Astyanax mexicanus: one gene and its partners. The protein of the gene in region 1 interacts with the protein of each later gene in a pairwise test. Links are inferred from orthologs where the notes say so. Each region holds a gene or a part of one and is shown in the gene's direction. Other genes may lie near its edges. The genes, in order: hoxa1a, chrd, ccn3 and slit1a.

Region 1 (7,321 bases):
AGAAGGCCTCCAAGAAACACAACCATCCTCCTCAAACGACCACCGCTGCGCCCACGGCTGCTGGCCCCGTCATCTGCTTCTCTCCGAAAGGTGAGTGGGAGTGGGTGAACGATATGAGAAATTATGGGGGTCATGAAGGGGTATGCGTAATAAAATTTCCGTGCTCTGCTTAGATCCTTATAACGCAATAATCTCTTCACGTACAATTACTAATAGTAAATACTATTCCACATTTCCTGTCCTGACACTCTCCAACATCCTACAGTCGAGACTTTTTATTTATATACATATCTGACAGCAATGAAGAATGATGGATTACTGTTGTCCAGCGTGGGACTGCTCGTGCATTCATTAGATCCACTGTGAGTGGAGGGGAGCACGCGCCACATAGCTTAGCACTGCAATTTATGAGCTGCAAAGTCCTGCCAGATCCCTTGTTTTATACTCGTAATCTTGTTTTATGGGGATTGTGCAGAGTGCACCACGGTGACTTAGCCAACAACACTACGGCCACCTCCAGAGATAGGCCTGATTCTTGCGTGATTTTTATCTCTCGGCTACACTGCTGTTTTTCCTTTTCATATGTTCACTCTGTTCTATGTGCTCCAGGTTCACCCGAGCTTCCTACCGAGGTTGGTTTGGCGAGCGGTGGAGGAGAAGCAGGGGGAGGAGGAGGCTCTCGCCGGCTGAGGACTGCATACACAAACACGCAGCTTCTGGAGCTGGAGAAGGAGTTTCACTTCAACAAGTACTTGTGCCGGCCGCGCCGCGTGGAGATAGCAGCTTTACTGGACCTGACCGAGCGTCAAGTCAAGGTGTGGTTTCAGAACCGTCGTATGAAACACAAGCGGCAGACCCAGACCAAGGACGGTCAGGAAAAGCTGAGGAACACAGCGGCTGAGGAGGACAGTGGTGCGCAGAGCGATGAAGAGACCTCTGTGTTCGAGCCTAGCCTCGGTCAGGAGTCGAGGGCCCTCCCGGATAAAGATCTGCGTTCCTTTCAACCGGAGTCATCTTCAGTTTCTCAGCAGCTTCACAACTTCTCCATGTCGCCCCTCGGTCTTAACGACCTGGACACGTCTCCAGCCCACAAACACGTCTCCAGCCCCTCACCCACGCTATCGGGCCACAGACCGCCCTCCTCCAGCCCGGACAACTGCAGCTCCCCGCTGACTCTGGACGTGTCTCTGAAGGACTTCCACGGTTTCTCTGCGGATTCGTGCTTACATCTGTCCGACGCCGCTTCGCCGACACTGTCCGAGTGTCTGAGCACCCCAGAGCATCTATCCACGGATAACTTCTGCTTTTTCACGGACGCTTTAAGTACAATCGATCTGCAGCATCTGAACTATTGAGAACTGCGACACTGGAATGATGTGCTCTTCATCTAAAGGATATGTTGTTATCGCTTATTTGTCAGATGGGCACATCTTCCTGATAGGTTAACATTAAATGGTTAAAGGTAAGATTCTCTGTGCATAGAATGCTGTGTATCATAGACTGTATGCAGTAACGCACAAACGAACCAATGAATAGGTTTTAGCTAAAGATGGATTCGACTGTTTTTATTTTTGTAACAGATATTTTTGTTAGAATAAAAATGTGCTTGTTTATAAAAATGTGTCATAGTTACAATTTGGTAAAAAAAATGTAATACAGCTTTTTTAAATGCAAACTGCACAGATACACCACATTGTATTACACATCTTTGTCCATTAAAATAATAGCATTGCTAAAGTAGTAACAGTATTATGAAAATGCACTTCTCTTTCAAAATATTAATAAAGCCAGTGGTGGAAAAATTGAGAAAACACATTAAGATATTATTTACTGAACTGAACAAAAAAAAAAACCTGTAAACGGGCTAGATTGTTAGATTAATTGGTGATTTAAAAGTTGCAGCCTTGCTGGTCTACTGCTAAACAAACAAAACAGTTTGCAGACTTGAAATAAAATAATATAACTCAAAGAAACTAAATAAATAAAATCGCACGAAACATGTAATAAGAATATAATAAGAAAGGGAGAAATAAAATAGTTACTCTCATACTCTAACTTTAATAGATTTGATAAATATGCTTATAAACACATTAGTTTGGTTCTCTTGTCTGATAAGCACCGATAAGCACAGCCACTCCAAAAGAAGTAAGTACTCATGTTCTCGTGTAGCGCGTGCTAGGAGGTTTACAGTTACACCATCTATCAAATTTACAAACTTTCTTCCTCTATGCTGTAAAACCCCAACATGGCTGATTTTTTTTCTGGACCTGTGCTCTTTGTTTGGGGCTCTGCTCCAGGCTCCGCGTGGGGAAATGCCTGGGATGTTTCGTTCTCTGCCAACTCATAAATCAAAGTCTTTCATACACCCTGACAGCACGAGACAATGGTAGTGACGTCCGCGCAAATAAAAGCCCAGTCGCGTCTCCCTCTCTCTTATTTTGAGATTGTTTGAGACTGTTTTGGGGCGCAGAGAAAACCCTGCAGGGACGATCGGTAATAATTCATTTTTATTGCCGTTTTAACACCAGGCGTAAGGCCAGTGTACATAACCTCCGTAAGAGGCGTTTTTATAGCGCATGGACAAGTCATTCATTTCAACTCTGGAAGTGGAAGTGGGTTTTCTGGCCTTTACGGTGTTGTGTCATGACATTAGAAACATTAATGCTATTTAAGTACATTATACAACTATGGGTCAAGTTGTTGGGACATGTCTGTGTCCAATTATTGTTATACTATTATATTATTATGGCTAATTGTATGGCTAATTTTATTATCAATTAGTAGTAACATTTTATTATTAATTAGTCGTAGTAGTTGGGCAATGATTATTATTATTATTATTATTATTATTATTATTATTATTATTATATTTATTATTATTATTATTATTATTATTATTGTGCATTTTTGAGACCACTATGCTGATACTACTACCACCAAAAAATACAAATAAATGAATAATAATAATATTGAAACTGAGAAAAGAAAATTCTATTCTATGTGTTTAATTTTACATATTAGACATATCGTTTTTTTGTCTTAGCCAAGATATATATAAACGCTTAAACATATACAGTAAGTTATATAAATAATCCCACCGGAGCGTCGAAGGCCTATTAATTTTTTACACCAATATTTATAATATATGTGAATACAGGCATATATCCCTGTGTGAGTGTGAAATATTCATTCACCAAATCCTCTCTAACAAATCATGGGAAGAGTTTTTTTTCCCCGATCGTACACATACACATGTTCATGTCACTTCCAGCTTTCTTCAGCCTTTTCACAAAGAAGAACAAGCGTTTCTGCGTGGGAGAAATCTCTCTCTCTTTCTCCCTCTCTTTCTTCCTCTCTCTCTCCCTCTGGGTGGGGGTGGGAGGGGGCAGGATGTGAGAAGTTAGAGGAGGAGATGAGAAATCCTGCTCAACACTCAGCGCCATTTTGAATGAAGAAAAAAATACACGAAAAACAAAACAGGCGCTATTTCTCCTCCAGCCAGAGGGGGCGCTGACCCTCACTCCTTACACACTTTCTCACTTTCACTGCTTATCTGTGTTTTGTGTTTTGGCCATCCAAGAAACATTACAATAAACTAATAAACATATTAAGCAGGTATTTAACTCTTAATATTTGTGTGTGAATTATTTTAAATCCAACTACAAGGAAAACTTAAGGACTAGACAAGGCCATTCATTTCTTGGAAACACTTAAGGTCAAATTAGGATTAATATTGTTCTCCACCAGGGAACTGCAGTGCCTATTAATAACGCTGGAACTCTGGGGTTCATTAAATTAACTTTCACCCTTATCAAATTATCATAGGCAGGTAATGAAAATGCCACACTGCAGGCTGGCATAAACAAATAATAATTAGTTTATCATTTTCATGCTGTGCAGTATTAAAAATAAAGCTGCTACAATAGGCTGTTTGAGCTATGCCATAGAATAATCACATTTGTTTCCCTAAAGAACCCTTCAGTGGAGTGGAGGAATCTTTAGATTTTGTTAATATACAAGGGAGGATATTTAAATTATTGTGAATCTTTTATGTAAATGTCCTTGCAACTTTGAAAAAAAGTTGCTTTCACAGATTCTGTCATACAGTTAGTTTGACTCACCTCTATGTCTGTCATAGAGGAACTTTTTAATGTCTGCAAAAAAATATTTTAGAAAAATATTCTTCATGTTTCTATTACAAACAATGTTATCACTTTTTTAAAGTACCATTTTTAGCGCTTTCAAAATTAAAAGTGTTCATTGTTAGAACAGAATGTGGAAAGTAGCTAATGTGTTTATAGAAGCTAATCAGCAAATAAACACTTAAATTCTATGTGAAAAATCTTTGTAATGTTAAAATAACCTGCACATAAAGGTGATAGATCAATTCTTACAGTTCTTACCTAATATAATATTTTGTTATTTGTATTATTTATTGTTGTTTGTTTTAAAGGTTTAAAGAGCCTTGGCTGAAAGTAAAGCTTTTTTGCCAATCTTTTCAATGCTCTTCACACACACTCTACTCTTTTTTTTCAAGCAATGGTTATATATTTAAGACATGTTCTGCAGATCTACAGAGTGAATCAAATGTTTAGCATTTATCACGGATACAGCCATGCACTAATTAGAGAAGCTAAACTCTGGTCCGGTCTTGCATACGGCTTGCCGGCTCAAACACTATTGATTTTAGTCACTTGTCAGGTTAGGAAGGTGTGTTTAATTCCGGGAATGAACAAACCTTGCTTACATCCAGGGACCAGTAAAAACGCGTTTGTAAATATAGAAGTCAAACGATTTACGTTTTACCGCTATTTGTGTGGTCCTAGACTTTTGATTTCTGACCTTGCAAAATCACGTATTCCATTGGTCTCGAACTTGTCCTACCTGATGGTTCAAGTGTCGGATACTTCACACACGTTTCTCTCACGCCCATCGCTCCTCAGCATCCGTGCACCTTAGTTCCTCCACTCCTGCGCTCTGCTGTTCCATCAATTGTTCCTACGAGTAGGACCCAATCGGTGCGCTGACGTCATTGATCGACAAGAGGTCGGAATTTACATAAGCTTACTCTTTAACGACTATCTGTCAGCGCGAGGCCACTCAAGCTCAAGACCCAACAAAGCCACTGGTCACTGGCTGACCCGGCTCACGTGACTGTCAGTGTTCATTCATATCAGCCTCGCGCGGTACTCTCCAAACGCGCGCTGATTGAAGGTCTGGTGGTGTCAGACCGCCTAGAGAGTCCGGTCAGGAAGATGCCAGAATGAGCACGTTCCTAGATTACTCCGTGATGAGCGGCGGGGACGGAGGTGGCGGGGGCTCGTGCTCCGTTAGAGCTTTTCACACAGATCACGGAATTACAACTTTCCAGTCGTGCTCGGTCACGGTGAACAACTGCTCTGGAAACGAGCGGTTCTTGTCCGACAGGGCATCACCGGACACCGTATCCAGTCATCCGAATCAGGCTGGGTCCTACCAGTCCTCCGGGACCCTGTCAATCGCTTACGGTGCGCACCCGTCCTACGGGAGCCAAAGTTTTTGCGCCGGTTATAATCCCTACCCCCTGAACCAGGACGCTGATACGACTGGTGGGTTCGCTCAGTGCGGCCCCCTGGTCTACTCTGGAAACATTGTGCAGCACCACCACCACCATCCTCACCATCCTCATCATCCTCATCATCATCGCCATGGCTACAGCGGTAGCAACGCGCACCTACATCACGGGCAACTTCAGTACGCAGCCGCAGCCTACGGTCATGGTCAGGATCAGGCAAATCTGACCTTCGTGGGGGGATGCTCAAACCACCTATCTCCTCTGCATGGCCACCACGATACGTGCTGTTCACCTCTGTCAGACGGCTTGTCCACGGCGCAGACCTTTGACTGGATGAAGGTTAAGAGGAACCCCCCAAAAACAGGTACATAAAAACAGGTCTGGGGGGAAAGGGGTTCATCTTTTTAAAAAAGCTTTTCATTTAAAAGTTTAACTTTAACTTTAAACATTCGTTTTAGGATGGCTTAAGATGAAGTTGTAGAGTTCTTGATCAGGGGTCTTGCTGATTATAAGGCATTTGTATTGTCATTATAATAGAGGGGTTTTGGTTTGCATTATGTGTCTTTAAGCCATTCAATAATTAAAAAATATAAAATGATTTTGCTCAAAAAACTTTATTTTTAAACTACTGTAAAACAGTTTAATCAAGAACCTCATTCCTAACCATCTTGTTAAAAAAAAAAAAAAAAAACTTTGTGAAGCAGCTTTTTAGAGGCACTGAAGTTTTTAAGAGATATTTAGGTCCATTAATTGTTATTGCAAATATAACTCTTTTTTTTGCCTTACAGAGATTTATGTGTCCCTGAACAAAATAAAATATTTTAAAAAACATACCTCTCCAATCAAATGTTTATCTTTATACTGTCATAAAACTGTGTGTCAGATATCCTGCTCTTGAATATTAAATAATTGGTGTAATAATGTTTCTAAAAGTTCTGTGAGGAGCACTAAAGTCTTCAAATATCTAAGTTTTTTTTTTTACCTTTACTTTGAAACTGCTACATTTTTCTAAAATACAATTTGTCACAATAAGTCAGTCTAATTGGCTTTGCCTACATCTTAAATACTTATTTTGAAAGACTACTTTTGCAAATCAACACAACAACTTCTTACTTCTGCTTCATAAAAGACTGAAAACTCAATGCAGTAAATTAAAAATCTCATTTATACTCCAGTAATGTGTAAATTGTGTGTTTAATGACCTTCATTCTGTTTATTTCTCAGGTAAAGTAGGAGAGTACGGTTACGGTGGGCAGCCCAACACCGTTCGCACCAATTTTACCACAAAACAACTAACAGAGCTGGAGAAAGAGTTCCACTTCAACAAGTACTTAACCCGTGCCAGGCGTGTGGAGATAGCTGCCGCTCTCCAGCTGAACGAGACTCAGGTGAAGATTTGGTTTCAGAACCGTCGCATGAAGCAGAAGAAACGCGAAAAAGAGGGTCTGATGCCCAAGACTGTGTCTGAACCAGGAGATGGTCCAGAAAAGGCGGAGGATATGTCCGAAAAGTCTCTTTCTGCACCTTCAACTCCATCTCCTGCCTCCACATCTGCTGACCACTATTCTTCAGGCTAAAGGCCTCAATATTATTTTCTATTGATGGGAAAAAGATGATGATGATGATGTTGACAACCATGACTCTGGCCACAAACTTTGTAGCAGTTAGAGTGCGTCAACATAACTGGACATGCCCACCGGTATGAGCCGCGATAATGCACTATTTTTTTTAACTTTTGACCATTCAGTGTTTTGTGTTGTTGTAAGC
Region 2 (7,488 bases), on another chromosome or scaffold:
ACGTTTGCTCAACGTTCTTCAGTTTTGGGAAGCCTCAGTCTCAGAAGAAAACCCCACTCCACTCATCCACTCACTCTCCCCGCACTCTTTGTAGTTTTACCTCCTACAGGTAGAGAACAAGCTCGTCTTTTCTATTTTCTCTTTTCTCTTTCCAATTCACCCCACCTGCCCCCTCCCCACCCCAGTCAGTGTTCTATTGCCCGTTTCCTCTCTCTTGTGCCCCCATTCTGCCCTCTTTAGCATGTGCATGGTGAGCGGGGTGGAGGTCCGGAATGAGGCGCTCCCTCCGCCCGAGCTCCCCGGGTCTTTATTACGCTGTTATTTTTATTTTATGGTTCTATTACCCCGTTAGTCCGACCTTATTTACCCCTCTCTCACTCTCTTCCTGAGCGGGAAATTGCCGCCCCCACCCGCAGAGAGAAACCCACACTGAAACCAGGCAACACGATATAACCCCCCATCAGTTAAATAATAACTTTTATTATTATTATTATTATTATTATTATTATTATTATTATTATTATTATTATTATTATTATTATTATTTGAGACTGACTGAAATAACATAAAATTAAATTAAGATAATAAGGATAATAAAATATAGATATATAATAAGATTTATTTTAGAAATTATTATTTAGTACTTAACTAAGCAATTAAATACTTAACTAAACGCCATTTAAATCAATAAAATGCTAAAATGTAGCAAATCTAAACTTTTTAAAACTACCAATTAAAATTGTTAAAAGAAATCGAATTAAGGTTTTGAAGAAATGAATTTTAAAAATAGACAAACCAGAATTAGCTAAATATATCATGGACATATATTTACCAATGGTAAAATAAAAAATAGTTAAAAGCTATTTTACAAAAAATAAAATGCAGAATATGTATTTATTTCATTTAAAGTAGAATTATGTTTAAAGTAGAATACATTTATTAAAATGACTATTGAAAAAAATAAAATGTATACAAAAAAAATAAATGAAAACATAATAAAAAAATAACACAATGATTAAAACAAATTAATTACAATATTTTTTAAACATAAAGGTGTTATGGTAAAAAAAAAGCAAATAAGCTGATATATTTAACAAAACGTATTATGTTTATCTAATTGATTAGATAAATAGTAAATATACAAAGCAAAAAATTTAAATAGTAGAATTAAATGGCATTGAAAGCAACTAACAAAACGCTATAATCATTAGGAAGGAAATTAAAATAACTCATAAATGAAAGGAGAACAAAAGACAAAGGAGCGAAATGAAAGAGAGGGAAACTGTTCGTTGATGTTCTGATTGATGTCCGAAAGTCATTTTGCGGCTCTTTAATGAGTTCACATTATGATGTGATTGATCTAAATCGGTTTGCGTTTGGATGTTAAAGTCGCAGTTATTTAAAACATTGACCGGTTCTTTGTTCTGGGTTAATAATCAACTCTTAAAGACAATATTAAAGGATAAAAGATTCTGATGAGCCCTTTTATCATCACAGGGTCACAGGTGTTTTTTAGTTTTATTTTTAAAAAGGCGCTTCTAAGGTTCCTTTCGGAATAAAAATCAAATAGCAGTCGGGTTTTAGCGGTAATGCGTTGAAAGAATACCGCATTATTATTTTATCGGTTTAAACGGAAGGCAATCTGTACCGAAGTATCGCTTTGGGTTCGTTAGGTTCGTCCCAGAGCTCTGGGGGTCTCTGAGAAGATCTCTGAGGTGTGTTTTTACAGTTAGAGCTGACTGATGAGGAGCGAGGAGGGTCCAGACCTGCGGTGTGAAGATCCAGGTTTAGAGAACAGCAGTAAATATGACTGAGTGTCTGCTGGGAAAGTGTCCTAAAACAGGAGGGGGGGAAAGAGGGAGTTAGAGGGGTGGATGGAGGGATGCCAGTGGGGGGGGGGATGAGTGTGAGGTGCTTCTGGATTTTGGAGGTATTCAAACCATCTTTATTTGTTTCTGCTAAATCACTTGAAGTGTCTTACAGAGTGTAAGGCCTAAATAAACATCCAGGACACACACACACACCAGCGCATGTATTCCTGCCTTTGTGGGACAGCACATTCCACATTAGCCACCTGAAATCCAAGGATGCTGTTGTAGTTATGCTATAACTAGCCTATACACATTAAAGCCCAATGATGCTATCAAACACACATATACAGTACCAGCCAAAAGTTTTAGAACACCCCTATTCATCCCCATCTTCAGGTCCAGTCAGTTTGTTACAGAAAATGGTAAAAAAAAAATCCAGTGTAGAAAAAAAGTAAAAAAAAAAATAAAATAAAAAAATTAATTTTGTTTTGTATAAAAATGGATATTGTAAATGTATACTTTACAAAAACTTTAGCAAACAATGCATTGGTTAACAGCATACGAATTAGAGTTCTGACAAGTGAAGTGAAGTATTAAAATCATTGATAAGATAAACTAAGATAAAACAACTTGTCTGGGTCTTAAAAAAGTGCTTAAAAGTGAACACACAGATAAGTTTAAACGCTGCCTTAGCTTCATAAAGTACCATGTATTCATACCTTTATGGGACATTTCCTGTAGATGCTAACCGATAAAGACAATTCAAATCCTATAATTAGCTAATACACCTTAAACTCTAGAGATGCTAACACTGCTAACACACATACACAAATAAACACACACATATGTGTGCAAATGTATTCAGCATGTATTCATATCTTTATGGGATATTTCCTGTAAATGTTACCTGCCAAATGCAATGTCAGTGACACCATTAGCTAATACACCACAAAGCCTAGTAATGCTAACACACAAACACACAGATAAGTGTGTTAATACTTCCTAAATGTCTCACAGTAGCATGTATTCATAGCTTTATGGGACATTTCCTAATGCTAACTCCTAAACACAATGCCAATGTGAGACAGAATTAGCCTACACACACTAAAGCCAAGCTCTCTCTTTCTGGTTAGCACATAGCTAGTGTGTGTATTACTGTATTTGAGGGTATTTCCATGTGCTAACTACATTCCAACACAGCTGTTAGCCAAATTTACCCTACACAGACTAAAGCCTAAAGGTGGCTAGTGTGTATTTCTGTCTTTGTTGGACAGTTTCATATGCTAACCATAAGTCAGCATCACTTTAACTAAATTAGCATGCAGGATAGATGGAACACACTGCTAACCTGACTCTAGACTGAACACACACACACATATTGGAATGTATTTCTGTCTTTGTGGGCCATTTCCTTATGCTAACTGCACATCAACACCACTGTTAGCCAAACAAAGACAGGAATACACACTTATGTGTGTTTGTGTATATATGTATGTATGTATATATGTGGAATTGGGTTAGATATGTAGCACAACAGCATTCACACATATGTGCTTACCTTAACTTCACACACACAAACACACATTAGTGTGTATTTCTGAAATTCTGGGCCATTTCCTTGTACTGAATGCATGCAAATGTGCAAATGCCACTGTCAGCCGAACAAAGACAAACAAAGGAATACACACATATCTGTGTGTAAAATCAGGTTGATTCTGTAACCCTGTCACCCTTTTACCACTGTTTTATTATTTAGTCCCCACAAAGAGATAAAAACACACAGACATGATCTTTTCCTATGGTATTCTAATTTAGGGATAATTCCACACAGTCTTTTCTGTGTATTTGTATTTCTATTTTAGTTGGGTTCTTCTGTATGAGGAGGTGCTGCACCTAGCTAACCCAATCCTCATCTCAACCTCCCCCTCCATCTCCCTCTCTTTCTCTCTCTCTCTCTCTCTCTGTGATGCTAACACACAAACACACACCAGTGTGTATTCCTATCTTTATGGGACATTTCCTTATGCTAACAGCATAGCAATTAGCCTAGAGATGCTAAAACAAAAATTGCACAGATGTGAGTGTGTGTAAAAGGTGTTATGCTAACAATTCTAAATATATATATATATATATATATATATATATATATATATATATATATATATATATATATATATATATATATATATATATATATATGTAACGCACAAACACACATACATTTGCTTATGTGTTTGTGTATTCCTACCTTTATATGGCATTTCCTTATGCCAATAACTGTATAGTCAGTTTAGACTCTTTTTTAAATGATGATATAATGATATATAAAATACACAGGTCCCCACAATGTCAACCTATACAGATTTCTACTATGAGGTCCCCACAAAGTGATAAATACTTAAGGCTTAATATGGTACTTGCATTGCAATTTTTAATTACTATTTATTTTAACATTTATTAATTTTTTAACCTGTCTTAACCTATCAAACACACACTTACACATAAACACACACTTAAACTACACACATTCACACCACAGGTAAACCCACGCCCCCCGGTCCAGACCGCCCCCCCCCCTCTCCCCCCACTCCCGTTTCCCCTCCCCTCTCGTTTCGCCCGTGTATAAAACCGACAGGCGCTCGCGCAGAGTTATCACAACTCTCAACTCAGACTAACACACACATACACACTCTCTTACACACTGCACTCTCACAAACTCTCCTCCAGCTTTACTGAGGCAGACGCCGCTTCTCACGATACATCAGCTGGACTTCTGCTGCTGCTGCTGCTGGATCTACACGAAGAGACGGACTTACTGAAAACACAAAGATAAAAACAGAGGGAAGAAAAGGACGAGTGCGCTTCTATTCCTTCGCTTCTTCTCCTCCTTCTTTATCTCCACCTCGAGGATGGATGTCCTGCCGCTGCTTGCCGCGGTGTGTGTGTTATTCAGCCCGCACACACTCGCACTCGCTTCCCGAGCCAAGGCGCCTGCGCTTCCCATCCAGTCCGAGAGAGAACCGCTGCCTTCCAAAGGAGTGTCCGGTACGGCAATGTCTGTGTGTGTTCGTGTGTGTATGTTTAGTATTTAGCACATTGTGGGGACCTGAAACTATCTGAGGTCCCCAGAATGTTGCAAAACCATGTGATATAATGATAAATTCATTTTAAGTAAGGAATGACTTAGATGCAGCACAACATTTCTACATATCTATTAATTGGATTTACTATACCCCACAAAAGTATAAATGTAAACACAAAGACTGTGATGCCAGTCAATAAGTTAGTTTTATTATGTTGGAGTAAAAGTGAGTGGGTAAAGATAGTGTTGTTTTTTTAGTAAGGGTTTAAGTTTAACTTTATAAGGAACTGCATTTAAGCAAATAGAATTGGAATTGTCTCACAAAGATAGGAATACAAACAGAACCGTCTATATGTATGTGTGTGTTTTAGCATCACTGAGTTTGAGTGTGTGTCCTAATTCAATCAAATACTGGCCCTGACAAGTCTCCAGTTTCAGCTCTGGAGGTCAGTCTCTCCCTGACCCGCTCCTGGACGTCTCTCTCTCTCTATCTTTCTATGAGTCTGTTAGTTGTAGCTGAGGGGCTTTCTGACACCATTCCAGATGCCTGTAACCACACACACTAACACACACACACACACACACACACACACACATCCCCTCCAGCCGTCTCTAATCTCTTCCAAATCTTACTTTTTGTCATTTTAATCAAACCAGTCAGAAAACATTTTAGTCATACCCTTGTTCGTTTTAACCCCCTCTTTCCCCTTGTACAAAAGCCTATACACACTTAAGTTCCCACAAAGAGATAAAAACCAAAAAATGAAAACACACACAGACATTATCTTTTTGCATGGAATTCCAATACAGGGATAATTTCACATAGTCTTTTTCTTGTGCTTGTATTTCTATCTTAGTGGGGTTCTTCTCTAGGAGGCTGTGCTGCACCTACTTATCCCACTCTTTACTTCAACTCTTTACTCTTTCAAATCTGTATATTGAACTTCCAGATGCGGAAAGTCACAATTTATAGTAGGCCTGTATGAAATGATGAAATGATCATTGTTCCTCAATATAATACTCTCTCTCTCTCTCTCTCTCTCTCTCTCTCTCTTTCTCTTATTGTGCAGGATGCTCGTTTGGTGGGAGGTTTTACTCTCTGGAGGATATGTGGCATCCGGATCTCGGAGATCCTTTCGGTGTGATGCACTGTGTGATGTGTCACTGCGAACCAGTAAGTCCCACTTATGCACCTCACTGTTGATTTTATCTCCTGATAAACAGAAAGTAGTTCCGGCAGGTTAGAGTCCTGATACTAATGAATTAATATACTCTGTGTGTGTGTGTGAGCAGCAGAGGAGCCGACGTGGGAAGGTGTTTGGGAAAGTCAGCTGCAAGAACATAAAGCAGGACTGCCCCGAGCCCAGCTGTGACGACCCCGTCCTGCTGCCGGGACACTGCTGCAAAACATGCCCTAAAGGTACCCAACACACACCCTCTCACTTAGAAATATATATATATATATATATATATATATATATATATATATATATATATATATATATATATATATATACACAGTGTATACTCTAAAACACACCCATACACACACCTGCAAACATGCACCCTCGCAAACTTTCCCTTACACACACACACACACACACACCTGAGTAATTGTATGTTTTCCTTCAGCTGGTGAAACTGAATGAATGGAAAGAGAGTGGAGTGTTTGGGAGGCCCTGACACACACAGTGTTTATGTTTCTGTGGGAAAGTGTGTGTATGTGTGTGTGTGTGTTTGCGTGAGCCTGTTGGAAAATCCCTGGCTGTAGCTTGAGATGGATAGATGGATGGATGGATGGATGGATGGATGGATGGATGGATGAAGGAGTAAATGAAAGATGGATGGAGTGCTATAATTTCTGAAAGTGCTTTCACACACTCACATACTCGTTTATATATTCACCCCAGACCACAAGACCACCTGCATTCGTTTCTGTTTTTAATGAACGAATGGGTAGAAATGGTGAAAGAGCACTCTTTCATTGCAGTGATTTCTATTACATATTTTTCTGCACCTCATCCAATTAAACATTATATTTAATATCCTCAATATATCCTCGATATGGCATAATCTGAAAACACTTTCTTGAGGAATGCACCCAGAGAAATGATCCAAAGTTACCTGAAATAAACTCTTTTTTTACATTGACTTTCACTGGAGGTTAAGACTTTTTTTGAGATTTTAATTGGACAGCGTTGATATCATGATTTTATCATTATAAGATACAGTATCATTATATTGCCCAGCTCTACAATATCATATATCCAGCATCCAATACCCAATAATATAGTATTAACCACACACACACAGTGTTAGACAGTACTGTTCATCATCATTATTATCATCATTTAAGCAGCTAATAAAGGACTGTATTGTGTATTGATGAGCTGATTGAGTGTGGAGTCTGATTGATGTTGTGTGTGTTTGATGGCAGGTGATTCAGACAGGAAAGCCACAGAGTCTCTGTTTGACGGCTTCGAGTTCTTCCAGGAGAAAGAGGACGACCTTCACAAATCTTACAACGACCGGTCCTACCTCAGCTCCGAGCAGATGAACACCGGAGACAGCAAGACAGGTCAGACAGACAGACAG
Region 3 (7,997 bases), on another chromosome or scaffold:
GGAGGACTATATATCACACAAGTGGAAACACCTAGGGCTAGGGGGCGGAGCTACAAATGAACACAGGTGGAAAAGTACTGGGGAAGAGACACAGAGGAGCACGGGTCACATGGGGATAACACACAGAGACATGAGAACAGACAGGAAACAGGGCAAGGATGTGACATTGTGTGCCTTGCACTTCTCAGTAAATAATTAATTGTTGAATAAACTGAATTATGACTGATTAAGCAAATGGAAAAAATTGTATTGTAAACCACTTGTCTTGTCTTCAGTAATTTTACTGTGCACAAATGTGGTCAATCATTAATAATTAGGCTGCCGTTGCAACTGTGCTATGCAAAACATACATCAATCATCCATAGCAATTATAACCTTGGGTAGGGGTGTGCCATATTGTATCGTACAAAATAATATCGCCAACATTTTTAAATATCATGAACGATATTATACCCTGAAATATCGTGCCATATCACCCACCCCTAATTATCACATCATGATGCTACATTTTTTGCTGTTTTTAGCAAAAGGAAAAATTCACACTGTTCTCAATTACCATTATATATCTACTAGAGACAGATTATATATCTGTCCAGCATCATTTATTTTACTTTAATCCTGGATATATGGAGAAATATGGAGCCATTATTAGTATCATGACATTCTGGATCATTGACTTCTGTTACAAATCTGAAAAAAAAATCTTGTATTTTTTTTTTATATCTCAGTTAGGGGTGTGCTATAGCGTATGCAAAAATAAAATAAAATTTTTATTTTGTTGCAGTAATGTATTCTTTAAATATTTTTTTTACTCAGTGTTTTGTCATATTGCCAAGAGTATCGGTATCGCAAAAAAATACCATGAAATATTGTGATATTATTTTAGGGCCATATTGCCCACCCCTAACTTTGGATTTGCAGTGAATAACATGAATTATCTGATTACAAAGGAACATGTCAAGCCAAAAGTCAGTCTTTAAATTGATGTGGTAGAAACAGGAAAGATGGACAAGCTTAATAATAATATGAGACACTTTTACAAAGGTTACACTGTGATGGCTAGATGACTGGGGAGGCAGAGCATCTCTAAAACACCAGACTGGTCTTGTGGCCAGTACCTACAGAAGAGCTCAAAGCTAGAAGAACCAGTAAACTGGCGACAGGATCATGGGCACCCATGATGCAATCCACGGAGACCTCACCTCACAGCTTAACATATTGGTGCCAGATACCAGACACCTTAAGAGCTCTTTTGAAGTCCATGTATTTATGGGTCAATGCTACTTTTGGAAGCATGCGGGCGACCTACATAATATTAGGCAGGTGGTTATCATGCTGTGGTTAATTAGTGTACGCACTGTCAACTATCTGAGTCAAACAGTCAAAAAGCTAGTGCTCACCACTGTTAATACAGTCAGAACTGCTCCAGAATCCAGCTTGGACCCTCTGTTGAACAGATGCAGTTACAGGCTTTCAGCATTTTGGAAAATGTGAGAAATGTTGCCCTCCCATTGTGATGCTGCTAAAAGGTCCACTACCGGCAAAAAGTGATTTATATATGTCCAGTGTCAATATACAAATAGCATTCTCCATGGAGCGGCTGGGGAGGTGAGATTTATAACCAAAGAATGTGACTTTACACAAATCACGGGAAAAAAAATACAATCTGTCTTCCCAAAAGGTCAGAGGTACAAAGATCATAGAAATATGTTAACATAATGTCTCTTTCTGAAACAAGATGTTATATGCTTGCTTTATAAAGCAGTTTCACCTGGTTATTCTAAACAGCAGTAACAATCTTTAATCAATAAATAATAATTTAAATTTAAACAGACTTACAGATCCTTCCCAATATTAAGTACAAGATTAAGAAAATAGAACAAACCTAACAGCACTAGTTTGTAAAACTCATCTGTCTAGTTTTTCTGTACCATACATTTAACATTGTGAAAAAAATGTGAAAATGTCACAGTTAAGGTTTCCTTCTTAGAACTCCTTTATGAAGATTGTGTTTACACAAGCAGTGCATATATATATTTGTCTTAAATTAGTTGTACACACAGTACTGTCCAACTTCTACCAGTGTAGCCATATGTACGGTGGCCGAGAAAGCCCAACGCAGTGCAAATTGAAAAGCGCTGCAAAAGCACAAAACACATCCATCAAAATTACAACACAGGCGCAGCAAATAGAAAAACGCGCTGCAAATACAACCACAACACAACGGAAGTGAGTCACAACACAACGGAATTTTCCCGGGGGACCTTAAAAGATGCTGTACCAGCTGTATACAAAGGACAATAAGTGGCAAACAAGCTTCTGAAAAGTAAGTTATGTTTATTACCTGTGATTACCACGGTTGTGTGCATATTATTAAAAGTTCTGCTTCACAAAACGCCTTGTTTGCCACTTATTGTCCTTTGTACACATAGTGAAGTCCGAGACGTTACTGAAGACGCAGCTTAGCTGGTACAGTATCTTTTAAGGTCCCCCGGGAAAATTCCGTTGTGTTGTGACTCACTTCCGTTGTGTTGTGGTTCTATTTGCAGCGCGTTTTTCTATTTGCAGCGCGTTTTTCTATTTGCTGCGCCTGTGTTGTAATTTTGATGGATGTGTTTTGTGCTTTTGCAGCGCTTTTCAATTTGCACTGCGTTGGGCTTTCTCGGCCACCGTACATATGTGTGATAATCATGAAACCCATGGAGAAAACCTTCTGGTTCCTAGTTGGGCTACCTATAAAGGCCCTACTCTAACATGTGATCTGATCTCTTTTGTACAATGTAAATGAAAAGCCAAATGTTTCTTTTAATTCCACACTGTAGAAACTGATAGATTTACACTGCCTGGCCAAAAAAAAGTTGCCATCCAAAAAAAGCTAACATTCTAGTATTTTGTTGAATCATCTTTAGCTTTGATTGCGACACACATTCACTGTGGCATTGTTTCAAAAAGCTGCCACAATCTCACAGGATTTATTTCAATCCAGTGTTGCATTAATTTTTCACCAAGATCCTGCAGCATTGATGATGGTAGAGTCTGACCACTGCACAAAGTCTTCTCCAGCACATCCCAAAGATCTCAAAAAAATCTCAATGAAGTTAAGGTCTGGTGTGAAAATGATGATCTCGTGCTCCCTGAATCACTCTTTCACAATTCCAGCCCCATGAATCCTGACATTGTCATCTTGGAATATTCCCGTGCCATCAGGGAAGAAAAAATCCATTGATGGAATAACCTGGTCTATATTCAGTATAGTCAGGTAGTCAGCTGACCTCATTCTTTCAGCACATACTGTTGCTGAATCTAGACCTGACCAACTGCAGCATCAACCCCACAACATTTACTTAGTTAAATCCAGGTGGAGACTTTTTTTTGTCCAGGCAGTGTATTACTTTTGATAATAGGTGATTAGGCAGTTGCTCAAAAAAGTGAATGGTTGCTGAGTGTTAGTACAATGTTTAAAGAGTCATAGATTTAAAGTTGGAAATTTAATTCAGCTGACCTTCCCTAATTATAGCTATTGACAAACCTAATTAAGGTCTAATTACACATTCCATTTGAATCCAGATATTGGAATTTCCAAGTTTTACGTAGGAAATATCAGCTAATACGGCGAAAGAGTTCCAAAATGGTAAAATCTCTGGTTTCCGTAGTTTTTGAATATGCAAAATACTGCATAATGCATATTGTTATTAACAATGCTCACCTGGGAAGCCTCATTTCATTATTGATACTGACATTCATATGTGGAGGTTTTAAGTTTGGCAACCCATACAGGCCCCACATGGGTATGATATCTGTGTTGGTCCATTCTAATGAAATGCCAAATACTACAAATAATAATATTTAAAATGTATTTTTGTACATTGTGTTAATCCTCTTTATTTCCTTTTATTAAATTATTAGTATCTACATTATATTTAACCTACTGCACTCAATATCAGCCTCAGTATTAGCCTGAGTCTCAATAAAAATTCAGTATTATCCTCAATATTTGCCTCAGAATTAATCGTATTATTATCCTCACTATTGCTCTAAATTTTATCAACGGTATTGGCCTCGATATTGTTCTCAGTATTATTGTTGGTCAGGTGAATAAAACAGATTTGTATTTACTCTTCTTTTTTATTTAATTTATGTAAAATATAGATTTCAAATACTGATAGAAAACTAAATGGAAAAAGATAATGATATAGAGTAAACAGTATTTTACAGCCTACAACAAGTAATGTTGTCATGTGACCATTAGATGGTACAGGCAATGTTTCCATGGCTATGTTCACATTAAAAGCCACATTGCTCAAAGCTGTATCTGTGTGTAATGTGAACAAATGTCCCTGAAATGCCTCACTTGCGCACATTGATACGTGTAACCTTCTTAACCAACAACAAAAAACGTCATATTTGAGAGATGACCTGTAGCTTTATAAAGGGAAATGGATGAGTTAGCAGCTCGAGTGGAGAGCAAACAGCTGCACAAAGAGATGTGTTGGAACATGATAAGACGCATGCATTCCGATTTGACGGTTCACAATATTGCCACATGTCCATGGATTGGATACGTATCCGATTTAGGACCACATATGAAAGTGACTCAAATGGTCAAAGTTTTAAAAAAAATGAAGTATTCCGGTGCAGAAAAGCAGAAATGTAATGTACCCATATGGGGACACAGGGTCTCAATAAGTTAATATTAATATTCGCAAAATTATTATCCTCAGTATTATAAACAGTATCCGCCTCATTATTAGCCTCAATTTCTGCGGTCTCTCCCGCCCCTCCCTGATATGCACCATTGTCAAATCTCAGGAAAGTTATTACCCAATCGTAGAGCGTAGGCTGAGAGGCATGTGCACTGCGATTGGCTAATCCCTGCGCAGAAGGCGGGCCCAGTCTGAATACAGGTGGGAAAAGCAGCGCGGTTGTTTTTCCCGCCCGTTTTTGCAGCAGTGTATAAATTCCCACACCTGGCCGGACTGCAGAGTAAAGTTTCCTCAGAGAGACCCTGAAGAAGTTATCTGCAGCTCCCGCGGCCCGAGCATGCTGAGCAGCGCGTTTCAGAGGAGCCTGGCTCTGCTCTTCTGCTCTCAGGTGGGTAAATCAGTGTTATTAATGGGGCTGAGGCTGCAGGTAACCGGGAGCGCGTGCACGCAGACAGCGCTGCCGACTGACTGACCGCATGTCTTTGGTTTGCTTCGTCTCCTCCAGGTGGCGCTGTGCTCCGTGGCGCGTCCGCGCTGCCCCGCGGGCTGCCGCTGCCCGGAGGACCCCGCCGTGTGCGCGCCCGGCGTGCATCCCGTCCCGGCGGAGTGCGCGTGCTGCAGAGTGTGCGCGAGACAGCGCGGAGAGACCTGCTCACAGCGCGCGCCCTGTGATGCCCGGAGAGGGCTCCGCTGCGACCGCAGGAGCGGGGTGTGTGTAGGTGCGTTATGAAATATGATTGAAACTTATTATGAGGTGAAACTTCCCATCATCGGTTTCGGTTTTATCGTCACATTTTCGGGTTTTAGCTTTTAATAGTGTTGTCAGGTAATACAAAAATCTAATTAATTACAGGTGCTGTGATTAATTAATCTAAAGTAATCACATTTACAACTGAACATTTTTAAACTGTATAATTTAACTGTATAATAAGACATTTTACATTAATAGCTGAAATATGTTGCTCTAAAATAAAAATGATACAACTCTTAAACAAAATGCTCAAAAATGTGATGCAGATCTGAACAGAGTTTAGATTTTTGACAATATTTTGACAAACGTTTACTTAGAACAGTCTAAATAAAATGAACATGGATGTACTTTATTATTTTAGCCAATACATAAATTGATTTTAGTATAAATCTGTTCTCTTATATTTTCTGCCCTGGGGCTTTTAATTTGAAGTCTAAAATGGCAAACTAACTGATTAGCTAATGGCTAACTGGTAAAGTTAATAGAAAATTTGTGCTGCTAATTTTTAATTGGCAATGCTAATGGATAACTGTTGATGCTAACTTCTAGCTGGCAATGCTAATGGATTAATGGCGATGCTAATAGCAATGCCAACCGCTTGCTGACAATGCTAATTACTAGCTGACGATGCTTACCGCTAACTGGCGATGCTAACTGTTTTCCGAGCTAAATTAATGACTGATGTTTGATAACAGATGAATGGCACTGTGCTGGTTAGATTATAGTAATAATACCAGCATCAGCCTAGAGTGCTGTGTTTGGTATGTGTATCTGTATCTGAATTCCACTTTGATTTCTTAATTCTGTGATTCCGTCTGTGTTTTCCACATCATGACAATCATAGGACCCTCACTGCCCTGCATTCTTAGTGTTTTCCCTTTTCCCAACACATCTAATCCCAATAATCAGAACATTACTAAATTAAAGTGTGTGTGTTAAACAACAACAATAAAAACAAAACTAACATACAGGGTTGGGAAACAATAAAATAGGCTACATGCTAGATTATGGGTGTGCTGAAACACTCATCCCACATGATAATGTGTTCCCAAGAAGGAGACCTATGGAGCTAAATTAGTGCCAAAACTACGCAAATAAAGAAAACGTATTCTGTAAATATGATACTACTTGCAAACAAACACAACGCGTTTTACAAATACAAAACTCGACTCTCTAACACACACGGTGTGTTTTACAAACACAAAACCTGATGGTTGTAAATATATATGTAAACTTCAAATAAATACACAGCTGTTTTCTAATACATTGCTCTTTACAAACAAATATAACACGTTTTACAAATGCAAAAAGTAATAAATAAAACAAGTAAAACATTATTTTCAAACATTACCGTGTCATGACTCACGAACACGCACAGCCCATTTGTAAATCACGTGACTTTTGGCACAGTTTTAGCAGAGTCGCAAACTCGTGTTGAGATTTTCTCACAAATACACCCAACCCTCGTACAAATGCATCGCCCCAGAACAGCAGGTGGCGCTGTGGGACACTTTACGAGAGGTGGCTGCACAGCAAAGCAAGCTCTCCTATCCAGCGCTCCCCAGAGCATTAATTTACACTTATTAAGGTGTTTAATACACCTTTAATAATCACAACTCTACCATTACCCGATTTACACACGGTTTGGTTTGTTACAAACAGCAGAGATGTAATTATGATATAGGACGCTGTTACACATCACAAATATGAGCTTTCATGCTGAAATACTTTGTATTATGCTCTTTAAAAAAGAAAGAAAAAAATATTAATTGGTGTTTAAATTGTAATATAGATAGATAGATAGATAGATAGATAGATAGATCTGGACAAAAGGAAAGACCACCTAAAAATGGTAAAAAAAAAAAAAAAAAAAAACATTGATTTTACCAAATTGAAAACCTCTGGAAACTAATCTACAATTCTTTGCATTATTTGAGGTCCAATAGCTTTGCATCTTTTTTGTTATTTCAGCCATTTCTCATTTTCTGCAAATAAATGCTGCAAATTTACTGACAATATGCTGAAATACTTTGTATTATGCTCTATCTATCTATCTATCTATCTATCTATCTATCTATCTATCTATCTATCTATCTATCTATCTATCTATATAATTTAAACACCAATTAATATTTTTTTCTTTCTTTTTTAAAGAGCATAATACAAAGTATTTCAGCATGAAAGCTCATATTTGTGATGTGTAACAGCGTCCTATATCATAATTACATCTCTGCTGTTTGTAACAAACCAAACCGTGTGTAAATCGGGTATAAAATGGTAGAGTTGTGATTATTAAAGGTGTATTAAACACCTTAATAAGTGTAAATTAATGCTCTGGGGAGCGCTGGATAGGAGAGCTTGCTTTGCTGTGCAGCCACCTCTCGTAAAGTGTCCCACAGCGCCACCTGCTGTTCTGGGGCGATGCATTTGTACGAGGGTTGGGTGTATTTGTGAGAAAATCTCAACACGAGTTTGCGACTCTGCTAAAACTGTGCCAAAAGTCACGTGATTTACAAATGGGCTGTGCGTGTTCGTGAGTCATG
Region 4 (7,691 bases), on another chromosome or scaffold:
AAATGAATGCAGCATGTTTGCGCGCTACATTACACAGTTATTTTCACGTCTGAATGGATTTTTGATGATATGAGCTCTGTAACGCTGGTGTTTTACACTGGTGCGCTGGGAATAGCTGTGGTGATGGTGTATATATAGCGTAACCGTGGTCGGGAGGGTACGATGTGTTAGCCGCAGTCGCATGCTTTACTGCGCTGCCAGATGATTGGCTCTGTAGGAATGCGTTTAGCGGAGGGAAACTGCAGCACTGCAGTGGGGTTTTGGATTTTTGGCCCTGGGGGGCCTCAAGCTGGTCTCAGATGACCTTCTGATACGGACTGGACTTTACTGTCTAATTTCAGGACTTAAACTGAGCGGTTTGGAGGTTTATCTGGTGATTAATGGTCGTGTTAAGAACCTGGTTACAGTAGAAATGTGAAGTATGTGGCTGTAATTGTGTAATTGTGTGGTTAGTGATTCTACACTGAATTAGTAAATTATTTTATCATTCCTTCACTATCTTTCATGCTTTATCTTATTTACTGACCTGTGGGATACGTGGAATACATAGCTACAACCTCGCGACAATCTTAACCATCACCTGGTACACCATAACAACCACCTAGCAACTGCTTAGCAGCCACTTAGTAACACTATTGCAACCAGCTTGCAACTACTTATCCACAACATAGCAATCCCCTGGGAGTCCACTGCAAAGCCATACAATCACATAGCAACAACTTATTGAAACCATAACAACCATCTGGAATACCATAGCAACTACCTAGCAACTGCTTAGCAGCCACTTAGTAACACAATGGCAACAACCAAGGTACAGTTTACTGAAACCATAAGAACTACATAGAATACCACACCAACACCATGGCAACTGCCTTGCAACAACCTACCAAAATGAAAGCAATCACCTGAGATACCACAGCAACCTCCTAACAGTTGCACCTAGAAGCTACTTAACATCATGACAATCTCATGAGCTACCATAGCAACATCATAAAACCACATAACACCATAGCAACCACATAGCAACAACTTACAAGCAATTACATAACAATCACAAAGTAGGCCACAAAGCATCACCATAGCTACCACTGAGCTACAACGTACCGAAAACACAACAAACACCTGGAAACTGCTTCGCGGCCACATACCAATCTGCTTGTAGTCCACGTAGCAATACCATACAACCACGTAGCAACAAGTTAACAAAACCATAACAAACACCTGGCAACTGCTTAGCAGCCACATAGCAATCCCCTGGGAGTCCACATAGCAACACCTTCAACCACGTAGCAACACTGTAGCTACCACCTAGCAACAACTTACAATAACGACCACCTGGCGACTGCTTAGCAGCCACTTAGATGGTTGCTAAAGTGTTACTATCAACAGCTTACCAGAACCATTGCTACCACCTAAAACACCATAGCAACACCGTACAACCAGTAAGGTTCTTTCTGCTCGGTAATGTTTACAGTGGGATCTGAAAGGATCTAGCTGCTCAGTTCCTCTGATTAATGTGTGTTTTTCTTTTTGTCTTTTGTTAATTTTACATCTTTTTGTTTCGACACGGACGGATCGGTCGTTTCCGTGTTGTGGACTGGGGTCAGGCGCGTTCGGGCCGTTCGTTTAGGATTTTATAGCTGTTTTCTCTTTGGTAGAGCCGCGCCGGCGGCTTCGTGTTTGATTATTTGAACAGTGCGTTATATCTGGTGTATTTTTTTCCTCTGGATCGTCTCTGAGGCGACACTATTAAACTGCAGAAAAAGCTGTTACTGAAGTATTAGAGCACCATTACGCTTTAAAACACAAAATAAATGCTTCCATTAGAGCCATAAAACTGCAATCTTTCAACTGCTGGCTCATTTACTTCCAGCGTCTCAGGTCACCACTGTGTTCTCGCTGCCAGACAACTGATATGATACTTCTGAGGCTTTCCGAGGCTCTGTTTTCTCTCTTTTTCTCTATTTCTCTTTTTCTCCTTTTCTCTTTTTGTCTATAAGTTTTTACCACACATTTTTCACACATTCTCCATACCTGCTCTGTAGCCACCAGACTCGTATAGCGTATAGTCACTCGATTAAAGAGCACGTACGTTTATTTAATATTTACCATTTAAAATATCTTTAATACCTAATTTTAAACATTTTTAGGAGACATCTATTACCAACACCACCACACCTTCTCTATCGTAAACCTGTTAGGTCTTATTTCTATTTCTTATTTTCAACATTTTATGGTGGCATTTCATGAAAAAGTGCACACATTGAACTTTCACTCCAAATTCTTTAACTCCTTTACGTTAATTATTCAAATTGCTAACTAAAGTGTATATTCTAGTTGCTGTATCGTTTAGATACATGGTAGATTTTACCACCATATAAAGCCATTCATCTTCCCCATTGGGTCCATAAATTATTTGCATAATTGTACTACAATGCCCTAACCTTATTCTAAACCTTAAATCCAACTCTGACCTTATCCTAAACCTAAAATCTAAACTTAACCTTATTCTACACCTTAAATCTAACCATATTCTTATCCTAAATTAAAAATCTAACCCCAACTCAAACCTTATCCTAAACCCAACCCTAAAATATGTAGATTAGAAAAAGCACCCCTTCTCGGGAGTGTGCACCTACGTCTTCCTGATTAAAAAAAAAAAAAAAAACTTTAATTGGAAATGTGCTCTCGAGAGGAGGTGCTTTTCATGGCCGGGGTGCAGAATTAGGCGTGCTTTCAAAATAAAAGTTTTTTTTAAACAGCTCCTGCTTTTTCTGCTGTATTTTTTTTTGGGGGGGGGGGGGGCAAATCCACATATTTCTGATATGAAATGGCTTTTGAGTTTCTTTGTCTAATTATTTCTGAGCCCCTGAAATGAGGCGGCTTTGTAGAAAAATGGTTGTAATTCCACACATTCTTCATACCTTTGCTACCACAACTCCACCTTCACCTCCTCCACCTCCTCCACCTCCCAGCTTCTACAAAAGCTCAGTGTTTGCTTTATATAACCAAACCCCCCCGCAACATTCCTCCCCCCATCTTCATCAGATGATCGCGCCTGGCCCTCTCCGGGTGTTGGGGTGGAATTGGTGGTGGGGGGGGGGGTTTGATATATAAACACAGAGGGTGTAAACGGTAAATCTGTGACGTCACACTAATGCGATTGGATTACATTTCAGGAAAATATCTTCAGGAAATCATTAATCACAAATTTGGCTAAATCTCGAATGTCTCTTATTTATTATTCTTCCGGCCGCGATGAAACCGAACACGTCGCCTGTGTCGTTTAAGTCATCTGAGGTGGAGGAATGTGAAGCATGAGCCGTCCTTCAGGCCTTCAGGGGTTAAAGGCTAAAGACACGGTGACTCAGGGTTAGTGTAGTCCTGAGATTAACCCTCTACAGCATGAGTTCCATTCTCTTAAAAAAGACAACAGCATGTAACTATGGTACTAAAATGCCCTAACCTTTTCCTAAACCTTAAATCTAACCCTAACCATAACCTTATCCAAAACCTTTAATCTAACCATAATGGTAACCATAAACCTTTCATTTTAACCTCAAATTACCCTTAAAACGTAACCATAATGCAAACCTTAACCTAAAGCTTAAATCTAACCCTAAAATTATCCTAACTTTTTAATAGAACTCTAACCCTATTCTTATCCTAAACCTTCAATCTATCCCTAACTCAAACCTTATCCTAAAACCTTCAATCTATCCCTAACTCATACCTTATCCTAAACTTGAAATCTAACCCTAACCCTTAACCCAACCTAAACCTTATCCTAAACTTGAAATCTAACCTCAAACTAACCCTAAACCTAGCTCTAACTAAATTTATCCTTATCCTGAAATCTAAACCTAACCTAAACCATATCCTAACCTTATCCTAAACCTTAAATCTAACCCTGAAACTAACCCTAAACCCAAGTCTAAACCTAACCTTATCTTAAACCTTAAATCTAACCCTAAAACCTAAATCTAACACTAACTCTAGCCTTACCCTAAACTTTAAATCTAACCCTGAAACTAAACCTAATTCTGTAACCCTAAACCTAACACTAACCCTAATCTTATCCTAAACCCTAAATCTAACCCAAACCTTGTTTTTATCTTTAAACATAACCCTAAAATGTGTGCATTCAATAGAGAATCATTTACTTTCAGCTTAGACTTGAATTTTGACAGATGCATTTAATAGACGTTTAGTTGAGCATCAAGAAAGCATTTGCAACGGACCGTGCAAATAAAGGGATACAGTGTTTCTCTTTTTATTAACACATGTATCGTGTATTGTACCCAGTATTGTAGTAGGTGGAGGGGAAGGTGGTGTATGTGGTGGTGTTGGAGGGGGTTTAGCGGGTCCGGCTGGTCCGGTCTGAGAGTTGGTCTCTGAGTTGATCGGACGCCTGAAGGACTGTAGTGGAGGGTGGAGGGGTGGGGGGGTGGTTGGTGGAGGGCGACGGTGGGGGGTAGGAGGTGGTGGTGGTGGTATGGTGGGTTCAGGCAGGGTTCTGAGGGGGGTGTGTATGTGTGTGTGTGTGTGTAAGGGGTGTGTGTGTTGGGAGGTACGTTTGGGGAAGGGGGAGGGGTAGTGGGTGTAAGGGAGGGGAGGTGAAGGGAGGTGGGAGGAGCCTGGGGGCTGCTATTTGTAGATCCTTGTGATGGATGACTGCTGTGTGTGTATATGTGTGTGTGTGTAAAAGAGAGAGTGTGTGTGGTGTGTTTTTTCTTTTTTTTTTCTCTCTCTCTCTTTGCCATTCCCCCTGTTCCTCCCGGTAGGCAGTCAGTAGAGGAGCGAAGAGGGAGGGAACCAGACGCCAAGAGAAAGAGAGAGAAAAAGAGAGCGAGAGGCGCAAACTCGGAGACTCTACAAAGAGAGGGAAGGCAGAGAGAGTGTGGCTGGGCGAGAGACACTGAGAAAGAGAAAGGGACGAAAGAGAGACAGAGAGAGAGAGAGAGAGAGAGAGAGAGAGAGACAGAAGGAGAGAGAGTTTTCTTTAGGAAGTCCAGAGCGACTGCTGTAGAGGACACACTCCTGTCCACTAACCCTGAGGAGAAGAACAGGAGGAAAAGACTAGGACTAGCCTGGAAAAAGACCATTCAAACTAAGTGTCCATTCCCTCGTCCCCCTTCCTAAAAGGACACCAACCACACTTATTCCCGTCCCATACCTTTCAAGATCTGTCCATCATCTGTCCAGGCTGTGCAGCGACTGGACCTGGGAAGACTTCTGCTGGACATAGTAGAAGCAGAAGAAGACAAGAAGGAGACAACTGGGGAAGCAGAAGAAGAAAAAGAAGCACTACTTGTAAAGAGTGTCTGCCGGCTTTGTCCGAGGTTTGGGAGGAGCAAGGAAAGGAGAAAAGATAAAGAAGAAAAAGGCAGAAGAAAGAAGACGCACCGGATAAAGAAAGGAAGAAAGAAAGAGAAAGGCGAGGGGCGCCGTCACCACTCGTGAGGATCATGGGGATCACCGGGATCACAGGGATCAGGGGAAGCTACTCCGGAGGCTGGAAGTGGGCACCACCACCGCTACTGCTGATGATGCTTCTCAGCGCCGTCGTCTTCGGTGGTTCCAGCGCATGTCCTGCGCTGTGCACCTGCAGCGGCACCACGGTGGACTGCCACGGACTGGGGCTCAAGACCGTTCCCAGGAATATACCCAGGAACACGGAGAGGCTGTGAGTAAACCTTTCGTTCCTCGCGTTTCTAGAGTTTAAAACCAGTTAAGGGTCACGGCTGGACACCCTTCTTTTTGCTCACTTTTCTTCAGGACACACACTTTCCTGTACTTGTGTACTTAGAAACGTAGCACCTGAAATAGCAGGTTTGCAACTGCAAAAACTGCAAAAAAGTCAAACCTGACCCAAAAGGTCTAAAGGTGCTGGATGCATTTAGTTTTAGGTGCACGTTTATTCGGGTTCTCCTGCTTCTAAAACCTGTAACCCTATAGATGGTGCACACTTTAATATTTATTTAGAGTTAAGGTTGATGGTTGAAAAAGTGACCAAAGTGGTCAAAAGGTGCTGGATACTTATAGGTGCATGTGACCTTCTTGCAGGTTCTCCTTCTAAACCCTAGGTTCTAGATCATGCACACTTTAAAATATATTTAGTGCACATATTAAAGATCTTAACTTATTAACTAATGTTGATGGTTGAAAAAGGATTTCGGTGCATGTTTTTTAGGTTCTCCTTCTTCTAAACCACACAACTCTTGAAAAAGTGACTAAAAACGTCCAAAGGTGCTGGATGCATTTAGTTAAAGGTGCACGTTTATTTGGGTTGTCCTGCTTCTAAAACCTAGGTTCTAGATCGTGCAACATTAAAATGTATGTACATATGAAAGCTCTCAACTAATCAGCTATGGTTGATGGTTGAAAAAGTGACCGAAAAGGTCAAAAGGTGCTGGATGCATTTAGTTTTAGGTGCACGTTTTTCAGGTTCTCCTGCTCCTAAGCCCTAAAACTCCTGATCTTGCACTCATCTTTTTATGTAGGGTTAAAAAACTGCACATATTAAAGAGCTTAACTAATCAACTATAGTTGGTGGCTGAAAAAGTGACCAAAATGGTCAAAAGTTGCTGGATACATTAGGTGCATGTTTTGCACAATGATCATCTTGCAGTTTCTCCTTCTAAAGCCTGGAAATTTAGATGTTGCACACATTAAACTTTGTATTATTTAGGTTTAGAAAACTGCACTTATGAAAGATTGCAACTAATCAACTAAGGTTAAAAAAAATGACCTTAAAGGATGCTTTTAGTAGGTGCATGCTTTTGCATGATTATCTTCTTGCAGCTTCTCATTCTAAAGCCTGGAATCCTAGATCTTTTACACTTTAGGGTTAGAAACATGCACATATTAAAGAGCTTAACTAATCGAATAAGGTTAAAAAATGGCATTAAAAAGGATGCTCTTATAAGGTGCATGCTTTTGCTTGATCTTGATCTTCTCGCAGGTTCTCCTTTTTTAAGTCTAGAACCTTAGATGTTTGTTATTTAGGGTTAGAAAACTGCACATATTAAATAGCTTAACTAATCAACTAATGTCATAAAAATGTCATAAAAGGATGCTCTTAGTAGATGCATGTTTTTGCATGATGATCTTCTTGCAGGTTCTCCTTCTAAACCCTAGGTTCTAGATGGTGCACACTTTAAAATTTATTTAAGGTTAGAAACATGCACATATTAAATAGCTTAACTAATTAAATAAGGTTTAAAAAATGGCATAAAAGGATGCTCTTATTAAGTGCATGCTTTTGCATGATGATCTTCTTGCAGGTTCTCTTTTCTTAGGCCTAGAAACTTAGATCCTGCACACATTAAACTTTTATTATTTAGTGTTAGAGACAACATGTATAAAAGAGCTTAACTAATCAACTATGGTTAAAAAAGTGACCTAAAAGGATGCTTTTAGTAGATGCATGCTTTTGCATGATGATCTTCTCGCAGGTTGCTTGCACAACTACATACTTGCAGTGCTTTTGAAAAGCACTATATATTAATATAATCAGCCAGATCTTGCACAGTGGATTAGGGTGGTTGATATGCCTTTTTTTTTTAAGAGTAAAATTTTCACAACAATGAATGAAGAATGAATGACTCCCGGCAGGCTCTGTAGGGGAAGATGTGCAAGTGCATGCTACCAGAGGCTAAAGCAAATAAAGCAGATAAAGCAGATGCTTG

Evidence for each region.
Region 2: the proteins of hoxa1a (region 1) and chrd interact in binary tests that used the Homo sapiens proteins (3 or more experiments, as listed by UniProt). The link is inferred for Astyanax mexicanus from reciprocal best matches to the Homo sapiens genes HOXA1 and CHRD.
Region 3: the proteins of hoxa1a (region 1) and ccn3 interact in binary tests that used the Homo sapiens proteins (3 or more experiments, as listed by UniProt). The link is inferred for Astyanax mexicanus from reciprocal best matches to the Homo sapiens genes HOXA1 and CCN3.
Region 4: the proteins of hoxa1a (region 1) and slit1a interact in binary tests that used the Homo sapiens proteins (3 or more experiments, as listed by UniProt). The link is inferred for Astyanax mexicanus from reciprocal best matches to the Homo sapiens genes HOXA1 and SLIT1.

What each region holds. Positions count from the first base shown.
Region 1 is NC_064410.1:62,517,559-62,524,879, reverse strand, and holds the start of hoxa1a (homeobox protein Hox-A1a), read left to right. Parts: upstream 1-4,298; 5' UTR 4,299-5,263; coding exon 5,264-5,918; intron 5,919-6,778; coding exon 6,779-7,131; 3' UTR 7,132-7,321. Other genes in the region: homeobox protein Hox-A2a, read left to right, coding at 1-90, 610-1,355. UniProt on the Homo sapiens protein: Sequence-specific transcription factor. Regulates multiple developmental processes including brainstem, inner and outer ear, abducens nerve and cardiovascular development and morphogenesis as well as cognition and behavior.
Region 2 is NC_064425.1:10,794,707-10,802,194, reverse strand, and holds the start of chrd (chordin), read left to right. Parts: upstream 1-4,470; 5' UTR 4,471-4,720; coding exon 4,721-4,856; intron 4,857-5,963; coding exon 5,964-6,067; intron 6,068-6,186; coding exon 6,187-6,313; intron 6,314-7,330; coding exon 7,331-7,471; intron 7,472-7,488. UniProt on the Homo sapiens protein: Dorsalizing factor. Key developmental protein that dorsalizes early vertebrate embryonic tissues by binding to ventralizing TGF-beta family bone morphogenetic proteins (BMPs) and sequestering them in latent complexes.
Region 3 is NC_064413.1:15,499,512-15,507,508, forward strand, and holds the start of ccn3 (CCN family member 3), read left to right. Parts: upstream 1-4,974; 5' UTR 4,975-5,040; coding exon 5,041-5,091; intron 5,092-5,208; coding exon 5,209-5,422; intron 5,423-7,997. UniProt on the Homo sapiens protein: Immediate-early protein playing a role in various cellular processes including proliferation, adhesion, migration, differentiation and survival. Acts by binding to integrins or membrane receptors such as NOTCH1.
Region 4 is NC_064432.1:26,599,444-26,607,134, reverse strand, and holds the start of slit1a (slit homolog 1a), read left to right. Parts: upstream 1-4,668; 5' UTR 4,669-5,468; coding exon 5,469-5,686; intron 5,687-7,691. UniProt on the Homo sapiens protein: Thought to act as molecular guidance cue in cellular migration, and function appears to be mediated by interaction with roundabout homolog receptors.